Linked DNA regions of Drosophila melanogaster. The gene in region 1 interacts genetically with each later gene. Each region holds a gene or a part of one and is shown on either strand. Other genes may lie near its edges.

Evidence for each region. A genetic interaction does not mean that the proteins touch.
Region 2: of pcs (region 1) and Btk, changing one suppresses a phenotype caused by changing the other (phenotypic suppression), as found in Drosophila melanogaster (4 studies listed by BioGRID).

What each region holds. Positions count from the first base shown.
Region 1 is NT_033778.4:14,979,336-14,984,286, reverse strand, and holds the start of pcs (parcas), read right to left. Parts: upstream 3,025-4,951; 5' UTR 2,506-3,024; coding exon 2,464-2,505; intron 1-2,463. Other genes in the region: ckn (caskin), read right to left, coding at 4,602-4,951.
Region 2 is NT_033779.5:8,297,747-8,302,728, reverse strand, and holds the start of Btk (bruton tyrosine kinase), read left to right. Parts: upstream 1-1,982; 5' UTR 1,983-2,223; intron 2,224-4,388; 5' UTR 4,389-4,406; coding exon 4,407-4,658; intron 4,659-4,982. Other genes in the region: wol (wollknaeuel), read left to right, coding at 31-205, 397-793, 850-1,192. UniProt on the Drosophila melanogaster protein: Required for proper ring canal development. Also required for the development of male genitalia and for adult survival.

The DNA of each region.
Region 1 (4,951 bases):
GTTTTGGAAGCGCAAACAAAATAAAAAGTAAACTCAATAATAAATAAATGAGAGCAAACTTATTCATCAAATATGAAGAGTGCTATGTAGTATTAAATGCAGTTTTTATCGGGACTGGTTATGAACTTTGTATTGTATGCACATAAATAATCTTGCGATATAAGCACAAGTTCGTATTCGCAATAAAAGATAAGCATAAAGAATATCATATACACTTTTGGGAGACACCTTTACGGTATATTTTTACATATATAGAGTAGACGTTGACTCACTTTTCGGACACGATTTTCTGATTCATAGACGCCTGGATCGAGTTCTCTAATTCGCGATACCCGTACTCTCACCTTGCTTACGTAACTGAGACCAGAGATAGCCGACTTCATTAGTCATTTATAATTTTTTATCAAATTCACCTGCACATAAAGTTTCCCTTGCTAATCTAATTATCAAATGGGGCAAGGCTACTAATTTATTTTTAAATTGCTACAAAGCTTTTCTCACTAATTTCTATCGTAAAAAAAGGCCCCTTTGTTTTTTTAATAAAGCAATTATCATCTAATCGATAAGTGACGCTTTGATGTGGATTGGTATGAGATTAGAAAGTTTGGGGCTCGAAAAACAAATCCGTAGCACGCAAATGACCATATTTTTAAGTTAACTGACGCGTGTGGAATTGTTTACAAAAAACATCTGTTAGGACACACGTTTTTGGTTAAATAGACTTTGCGACATCGACGCGGTGCCTATTCTTTGTCTATTGTTTGGCGTCATCAACTTGAAAACATCTCTTTAGATAAGAAATTTTGCACGCGCAAAATAAAAAAAAAAGAAGAACGCCAAATGCTCATTGATAAATCATTGGCAAATCGAAGGCAAAAAAACAACAAAGTCGACTTGTCGAAAGAGGAAGTCGAGCATAAAAACATTGAGAAAGAAGGCAAAAATAGGCGGAGCAAAATATTTCGCGTTTTTTTGTATAATGTAGCATGCGGTTTTTCGTAGAATTCTTAACCGGTTTCGGTACAGTTTTGTATTTGGTTTATAGAGCCGCACTAAAGATTGTTTATAGACAAAGTGAATATCTCCTACACATTTTCCCATACCTATACATATGTACTTTCGGACATTATCGACGAATCCAATCTAGTCACATGCCGTCTGTCTTCTGGGTTCGAAATCAAATTGTTGTTAATGACTTTGCGCCGCGTGTGGCGTCTCTCCCACTAAGTTTTGCATTTAAAAATAGGAATTATTGTAGGTCTACACCGGGATTTTCCTTTGTCTATGTAGGGGGTATTCTCACAATGGACGTACCATTCGATTGATCGCCCTGGATAAAGGTGTTTTTAACTTGAATAACCATTTTATACTTATATACTCATATACATAAATATATTCTCCTATTGATCACGGTTTGGAAACATTGTGTTTTTCACTATACTCATCCGATTTGAGTTTTTATTTTTACAGACTCGTATTATTTCCTGCCCATTTAAGGCTATTAGGCGAGTGTGCGACTATTTTGCGCAGTTGAATGAGCAGCATATGAATCTTGATTTATGCAAAAACTGCGACTTGCGCTTCAAGACACTTTTCAATTGTCTGGCTTACACAATAATATATAAAATACTCGAAATAGAAACAAAGGCGTGTTTGTTTTTTGTTGTTGCTGCTTTGGCTTGCGTGTGCGCTTTGGTATTTCCATTTATTAAATTTGTATGCATACCTCCTCCTCTCTCCCAAAAATGCGAAGAGATGAGCAAAGAAGAAGGGGCGAAAGATAAAGAGCAATAACCAAGTTGCACTTGAATCTCATTTAGGTACCGAGTTCAAATCCGTTGCGGGTAAAAAGAAAAAAAAAACCAGTTTACTTGGAAGTGCGTGGGATTATTTGACACCCTTTGTGATCCCTTTTTTCCTGCACTTTGTATTGTTTTCGGTTTTACAATGCATATTGAATAGTTCGTCGGAAAAGGAAACTTGCAATTTGCTTAAATGGCTCGTAAATTGATTTTCTGTGTTGGTTTTTGCTGTTGTATCGTTTTTGAAAACCAACAAAGCGTAAAAAAGGTTCACGCAATAAATGAGTAACGAAATGCAATGCAAAAACGCCTGTTTCCTATTTCCAAAATACAGTGCTCTATGTTTTTTGCTTGTAAGTTGTAAACATATTTTTGTATGAAAATCTAGGTGCACATTTATCACTTTGGTACAGTGGATACCCTCGGTCTTCACAATTCACCGAATCGGGTATGCACTGTACCAACAAAAACTGCACTGCAAAGAAGAGCAGGTGATAGAGAGAACTAGCAAGCAAACCAAAAACAAAGCAGCCTGAATATTGTTATTGTCATTAAAATACCGTTCCATTCAGTGCCAGGTACGAAAGAGAGAGGCATACAATGAGAGAGAGAGGGGGAGAAAATAGGAAGGACAGCAGGCAAATTGCCGAAGGAAAATCACCTGAATTTGGGGATCCAGCTCGCCGTCTTCTGCACTCGACATTTTTACTGGTTTTCACTGAATTCGTTCCAAATGCAAATATATCGCTAAACGCGTTAATTTTCACTTTTCTGCAGCCCGCTTTTCAATTGAAAAACGCTTTTGCATTTCACTATTTGATCTCGTTGCTACACAGACACATCCCACGACTATCAATTTGCTTGTGTGTTTTGTTTTTCTTTTTTTTTTCTGTGTTTTTTTCTATAATATTATGTAAATTGGTGTTGGCAATTTTAACTGGCAATTTGCTATGCGGGTACAGCAGCAGTATTAAAACAAATATTTCATTTTGCGTCTTATGTTTCACAACGAAGTTAAAAGCGAAAAGGGAAAGGGACACATGGCGATTACATTAAGTGTGAACAAGACGAACGGTACAAGTGGACAGGGCACGCGGCTTTTCACCTTCTCCTTCGCTCGGGGCATCTAAGATATTTAATTAACTCGCTTATAAAGGCTAAACTATCCTAAAAATTAAAGACGCGTCCAGACGCGACGAAATGAGAAGCTGAATTCGGTGTGACCGCAGCGCGGTGTTACCAGATAGTGAAATGCTGACCAGCAGTTGCTGAAATAAACATTTGGTATTTTTATTGTATTGGTATATTTCATTACAACGCTGGCATTGTTGCCAACTATTTTCAAGAAAAATAAACAATTAAAAAAATGTTTGATTTTCATTGCACCAGTTTGATAATGTAACAATTTATATTTAAAAAAATGCTAAGTTAACATATTAGTCTTCAAAATTACTCTTGGCGGGCTTGGTATTTTCTCTTACCATTACGTCATATGCCTCATCTACATAACCATCACATCACGTTACGTAGTTGATTCACTTCGTAACGTTATGAATAATTAAAAAAATTTTGTTTCAAAAAGGATTTTTGTTAAAGTTGCTAAATACGTATTAATGAAATATAAATAAATAGGTCTGACTAAGTAACAAAATATGCATTAAAACCAGAAACATTTTACTATGAAAGTTTACTTTATTTGTTATTTGTTTTCATCATTTTTGTTTTGCCCTTTATGTGCTTTACATGTTTGTGATTTTTTCGTATTTAATTTGTTTACTTTTCCTTATATGCGTTTATAAATCGAATACTCCAATTTCCTCTAATGATATGCGCACCAAACATATTTTTAACTGAGCGCAATTAACAGAAAACCGAAAATACTCTCAAAAAACAAAATTTTCACTAAAAGATTTTTATTTATGTAAATTATAAAGAAGAAGGCAATTCAGTTGTATACCACGGAATTTCATACGTTATTCAGCATCAATGCCCGATTAAACATAATTTATAAAGATGGATTCGTTTCCTTCTTTTATTTTTGATTTCTTAATTTAACGCTAATATAAGATTTATATTTTATATAATGCATCTTTTTACTTTGTATGGAATAACACTTAATTATACATTCATTTCATATAGTTTGATTTTAGTTGTAATCATAACAAAAAGAAACATTTCTGTGCAGCGTGATTTGAAAAAAATGAACAAAGAACTAAGGTACAAAATTCTAGAATAATACAATTTGAAATTGTCTGAATGGGATCTTTAAATAGTAGTTCTTGCCTGACTTTCATTGTGTTTGTTTAAGAGTGTGCCGTGTGGTTTATTTGTTGATTCCTCCTCTGTCGTATAGTATCAAACCACTAAATACTTGTCCATATAAATGATTTCGTTTAAATATTTATTTATATATCGAATTATATATATTTTATGCTATATAATAACTATGCAAGTTCTGCATATATGCATGTTGCGCTTCATTTACCATTCTTTTACTTGGTTATTTTCATTTTGTATTGTTAACACTCATAGTTTCGGGAATGGGAGGAGAGTTTAGGAAAAGTACAAAAGTATACATGGTTTGTCCAAAGCTTTTCAGTTGTAGTTGCTTTTTACTACACAGTGTGCATATCGAAATGATACAGAATACGATCCAATATAAATGCTTCTCCACACGCAATTGGAATAAGAAATACAAAAACAAATTGAACTTAACTAAGTTGAAGTACATAAAACATTACAAGATACACCACAACTTCTAAATTCAGCTACACTACGATTTGTTGTTTGATTGGAGATTTATTCACTGTCTATGTTTAGGCCCACTCGCTTCTCCTCCTCCAGCATGGCGTCCAGCTCGTCCGTGAGATTGGCCAGCATATTGCCAATGTCGTTCAGAACGTTCACCGAAACTTTGGGCGGAACGCCGTTGTTTATGGCCACAGTTGGTACGGCTGCTTCTGGCGAACTTGCAGGCTCCGCCGTTGATCCACCGGCATTTGACATATCCAATGTGGGTGAACGCAGGTGCAAGGCACTTCCACCGCTGGCTGTGCTGCCCATGCTTTCACTCCGCGCCAATGTGGCATCGTGCAGCGAACTGGAAGATTTCAACGAATGGAACGAGTGCGCTATATTCGCGATGGTGT
Region 2 (4,982 bases), on another chromosome or scaffold:
TCTTATTTTTACTGATAATCCATCGTTTAGATTGCGGCTCTGGTGCTCTACAAGACGAAGCCCTATCCCAACATCAAGCGGCACAAGGATGAGGAGACCTTCCTGGACCCGCACACCATTAAAACAGTGACTTTTCCCAGTCTCGAGGACTCGCCAAGTTTGGAGCTCAGTGTCATCGTACCAGCTTACAATGAGGAGCAGCGCTGTATGTTGCTTATTTGTTTTTGTTTTGGTGAATCACAGTCAACATTTTATCTATGCCCATTTGTGATTGATTGTCTGGCACCCGAATTTATCTACAGAAACTTCATTACACTAACATGTTACTTTAAGTTACTTTCCCCAAAAGCTATTCGATTTTCTTGTTCTCATTTGTGTGTGTTTATACTCGTTTAGTGCCTTCTATGCTGGACGAGTGCTTGGCCTTTCTGGAACAGAAATCTGCTGGCACTCCCAATTTCACATACGAGGTCATCGTGGTCAGTGACGGCAGTCAGGATGCCACCGTATCCGTCGCCTTGGGTTACTCGAAAAAGCACGGAGCAGAAAAGGTACGCGTGCTGGAACTCATCGAAAATCGTGGGAAAGGAGGTGCCGTTCGCATGGGTATGCTAAGTGCACGGGGTCGTAATCTGCTCTTCGCTGATGCGGATGGAGCCACCAAGTTTCCCGACTACGATAAACTGGAGGTGGCCCTCAAGCAATTAGCTCCCGAATGGCGAGACGATGGCATTGCCATTGGATCGAGAGCACATCTGGAGAACGATGCGATTGCAACAAGGAGTTTCTTCAGGTAAGATAAAATCCTACATTTATTAGCTGACCAAATACTGATCTGCGTTGCCACAGAACAATTTTGATGCACGGCTTTCATTTCCTCGTCTGGCTGTTTGCCGTGCGCTCCATTCGCGATACCCAGTGTGGCTTCAAGCTGTTCACCCGAACGACGGCCAGGAAACTCTTCACCAGTCTGCATGTGGAGCGCTGGGCCTTTGATGTTGAGCTGCTGTACCTCGCTGAGAATTTGAAGCTACCAATGTCCGAGGTTGCCGTTCGATGGACGGAGATCGATGGTTCGAAACTGACACCATTTTGGTCGTGGCTGCAAATGGGCAGGGATTTGTTCATGATCTGGGTGCGATATTTGGTGGGCGCCTGGCGGATTGCCTCCATACAGAAGAAGGAAAAGTGATGTGGACTTGGAGGGCATCTCATTCCCAATATTAACTAGCATTTTGTGTCGAACTTACTCCGCTGTCGTGCATTACCAAAACTCTTTTAACTCTAAACTCTATTTTTGTAGGCCTGATAAAGTGTAACGAATTCTAGCTAGTTAAGTACTTAAGTACAGTATTTTTTCAAATAAAAAATAATTGATTTGAATAAAATTGCGCGGCAATGGTTCTAAATTGTTAGTAATCTAAAAAAAGTAACTATACCAAGTCGTCTTCCTTTAGTATATTGCGCTTTAAATATATAAAGTTTCGTCACATTGCTTGTTTAATTTTGGAACGAAGAAATAATTAAAATCACTAGTTATTTTTTTGAAATATTGAAATACGCGGGAAAATAAAATAAAAGGCAGTATGTGTGGTATTTTGTATTCTTCTGGTATTTTAAGAGTAGTTATTTTCATATCGGTGTATCTCCCCACTCGAAGTGCGGTCACACTGCAAAGAAGTTGCGGCGGCGCGTTTAGTTTCGTATTAAATCGTTACTATTTAATTACAGTTAATTAGTGTAAACAAACCAATCAAACATAGATACAGCTGCCACGTGAATAAACGGAAAAGATTCTAGTTAAAGCGTAGGATCGCGAGTGCAACTGCCATGGGCGCCGCTAAGTAAGGAATTCCAGGAATCCTACGTTGCGCCTGTTGCTCCTCTCCCGCTCTCCAAAATTGCGTGCAGGTGTGTGCGGGTGTCTGCTCGTCTGTGTGAGCGTCTCAGCTGTGCCTGCGTTATATATTGTTTATAAAGATTTTTTCGCAGTATGCAAATGCTGAACAAGCCGGTCGGTTGATATTTCGTATTTACTCTCGTCGCCGCGCAAACGAAAGTGTTTTGTTATTGTTGCGTTACCCGTTGCGTCTGCCCCCTCCAATTGGAGAATTGTGATTTGTTAGTGGTGTGCGCTGCTGGTGTTGTTGTTGTACTTGCTGTTATTGTTGTTGCTATGCGGTCGGGTCATTGCTTCAAATTGCTCAATCAACGGCACTTGTGGTAAGCTGGTGAACTGGCACAGTTATCAATTTTATTCCTCCTTTCCGTCCCCTTTTTATCGCTATCGAATTACATACATACTTCTTTTGTTCTTTGTCTTATCAGCATTTATTCAATTGCCCAGCAAGCTGCGCTTGAAACTATTGTATTCTGATAAGAAAGGCGAACTCTGTGCTCGACGCATTCTAATCAGACGCCCTTGCTTTTGCATTTTCTGAATGCATTTCATTTTAAGGCATCGTGCAACGCAAAAAAAAACAAATCAAAGTTAATATAAATAATTATGCTGTGCTGATTTTATTAATCAGCTTATGGCGACTTTAGCTTAAAGTCACAATAGAAACTAATTACACGAAATTTTTTGTTGTTGTAATAATAACAAATAGAAGTACTGCTAAAAAAATATCGTTTACATAGTTGCTTAACTTATTTTAAATTAAAAATCAATCTTTTTGGAATATAAAGTAACTCAAAAATTGATTTCAAATTAGACTGAAATTCTTGCTAAGGTCGCAGATTCTCCAGTCTTCCTCTTCCACTAGAAAAAGCGCGACAATAAACAAAAATTAAATGCAAAGAAGAATACAAACTAAGCGCGACCATTTGCGTGGCGAAATTCAAAGTCAAAAACGAGTTGCCAGGCCACGCCCGCTATATGTATATATACATATATACTATATGTATGTATATTGATGTGCTTATAGCCCAGGTCTTTGGGCCTCTCGCTCCACCAAAAAGATTTATGTACACATTGCGCCTTCTGCCTTTTTGCCATCCTTTTTTTCCTTTCTGTGCCTCGGTCCGTGTTTATTTTATTACTTATGGCCATGCGCGTTGCGCTGAAGATTCTGATTCTCTCGCCCTCTCTTTTTACGCTCCGTTCGCCCATGCCCCCGCACTCCGCTCCTGTTTTTGTAGCGGCTCTGCTTGATTAAAGCGCGTGGGGGGTGGGGGGCGTCAGGAGACGGTGAGGAGGAAGAGTTGATCAGGAGATCCAGCCAATTGTTGTTGTCGCACGAGCATTTGTCGCCTTAGCTTTGTTTCCCTTTTTTGCAGACGCGTCCGTTCATGTTCCTTGATGATCAGAAGCGGATTTGTGAATCAGATAAAGAAAATCATATCGTCAGAGTAAAGAAAACTAAAACTTTTTTTTATTAAACAAACTCTTTTTAAAATCATCCTTAGTAAGATGTTTAAATAAATCAATAACTCAACCATTCCCGAATTCAGAGCACTTCGCTCCTGGAGTCTTCCTGCGTCTTGTTAGCTTTTGTTGAAGTGTGATAATGCCAGAGATCGTGTGGTGGCTGCTCCTCCGCTTGGAGCCACCTTTTCAACGGCCCGTTTGTTTGCGTACACGCTTCTCGTTTTGCGAAATGGAAGTTGTGGGGACAAGGTGGCAAGGAAATGGGGAATATGCCGCTTTGGGGGCTAATCCTTTAATCCGCTGTGCGCGACTTCAAGGTCAGCAAGTGATCTTTACTAGTGTATACCAACCTATATGTATCTCCTGTCTGCTCGGGGGCTAATTAATTGTTCGTTTAATCGTTCGATTTGCTGACCGACTCGTCTGTCCACTGGATTTTCCCTTCCTTGGCTCCACACTTCTCCATTAATAGGCAGTATACAGTATCTGTAAATGAATAACTTTATTTTCATCCACTTTTCGCCATCCCATACTGATTGATGCCAAGCGGAACGCCCACGGCAATTAGTCAACCAGGTAACTCCCAGTGCTCCAATGTTTTGGTGGCCCCATGTTCCACGGTCAATGCCTCGAGGGGCGCTGCAAAAAAGATTCGCACGCCCACGCCCACGCCCCCCAAAATAGATTTATGGCCTTGCCTCTGCAGAGTGTGTTGTAACCAATCTTTTTGGGCGAGCGCTTCTAATTTTAACCCTCTGTTTGCCAATGCGACATCCATTCTGACGTCCCACTAAATGGCCATTAAACTATTTAAAAATCTTTATTTTGCCAATGGGATAAATAAATGTATGATTAAATATTGTCTGTTCATACGTATGCATGGCTATAATCAAAGCACAGACAAAAACCCTTGGGTTAATACAAATATGTCTTATTTCGAAGGGTTAAAAACGTTTTGGCATGCGTGTAAATATTAACATTAACTTTTGGTTAGCTAATATGTTTCTTTGCTTTTCAGACACTTTTTCTTGTCAAGATGATGGGCACTAAGCATCGAAACTCGCATGTCAATGGCAGCATTAAGTCATCATCATCGCTGCGATCGAGCAGCAAATCCTTTCAAGCAAAAATGGATCTGATGTCCGAAAGGCTGTACGATGTCGTGAAAAGTGGATCGATGGTGAAAAGGGCTCAAAACAAGAAGCGTTTCACCCCCGTGAATTACAAACATCGATGGTTTGAGTTGACCAAGCGAACTTTCAGCTACTTCGATGTGGAAAATGTGGAGGTGAGTCATGCAAATTGCTGTACGCATTTCGGCCAACAGGTTTTATTTGGCCAAAACTAATTCAGCCAAAATAATGAATCGACATAATTTAAGCTAAATTAGCGAACACAAAATGAGAATGTAGATAACAGCGAAAAAAACAAAAATATTATGAGAAGCTGCTACGTATTTTTATTCGATTCTGATCGGTAGAATCAATAAATAGAGCTTATCTATTGGTAGATAATATGAAAATAATTCATGGATAATCTGCAAATGGTGTTATACATACTATAGCAATTATACACCATACTATAGCAATTAAGTAATTGCTAACTAATACTT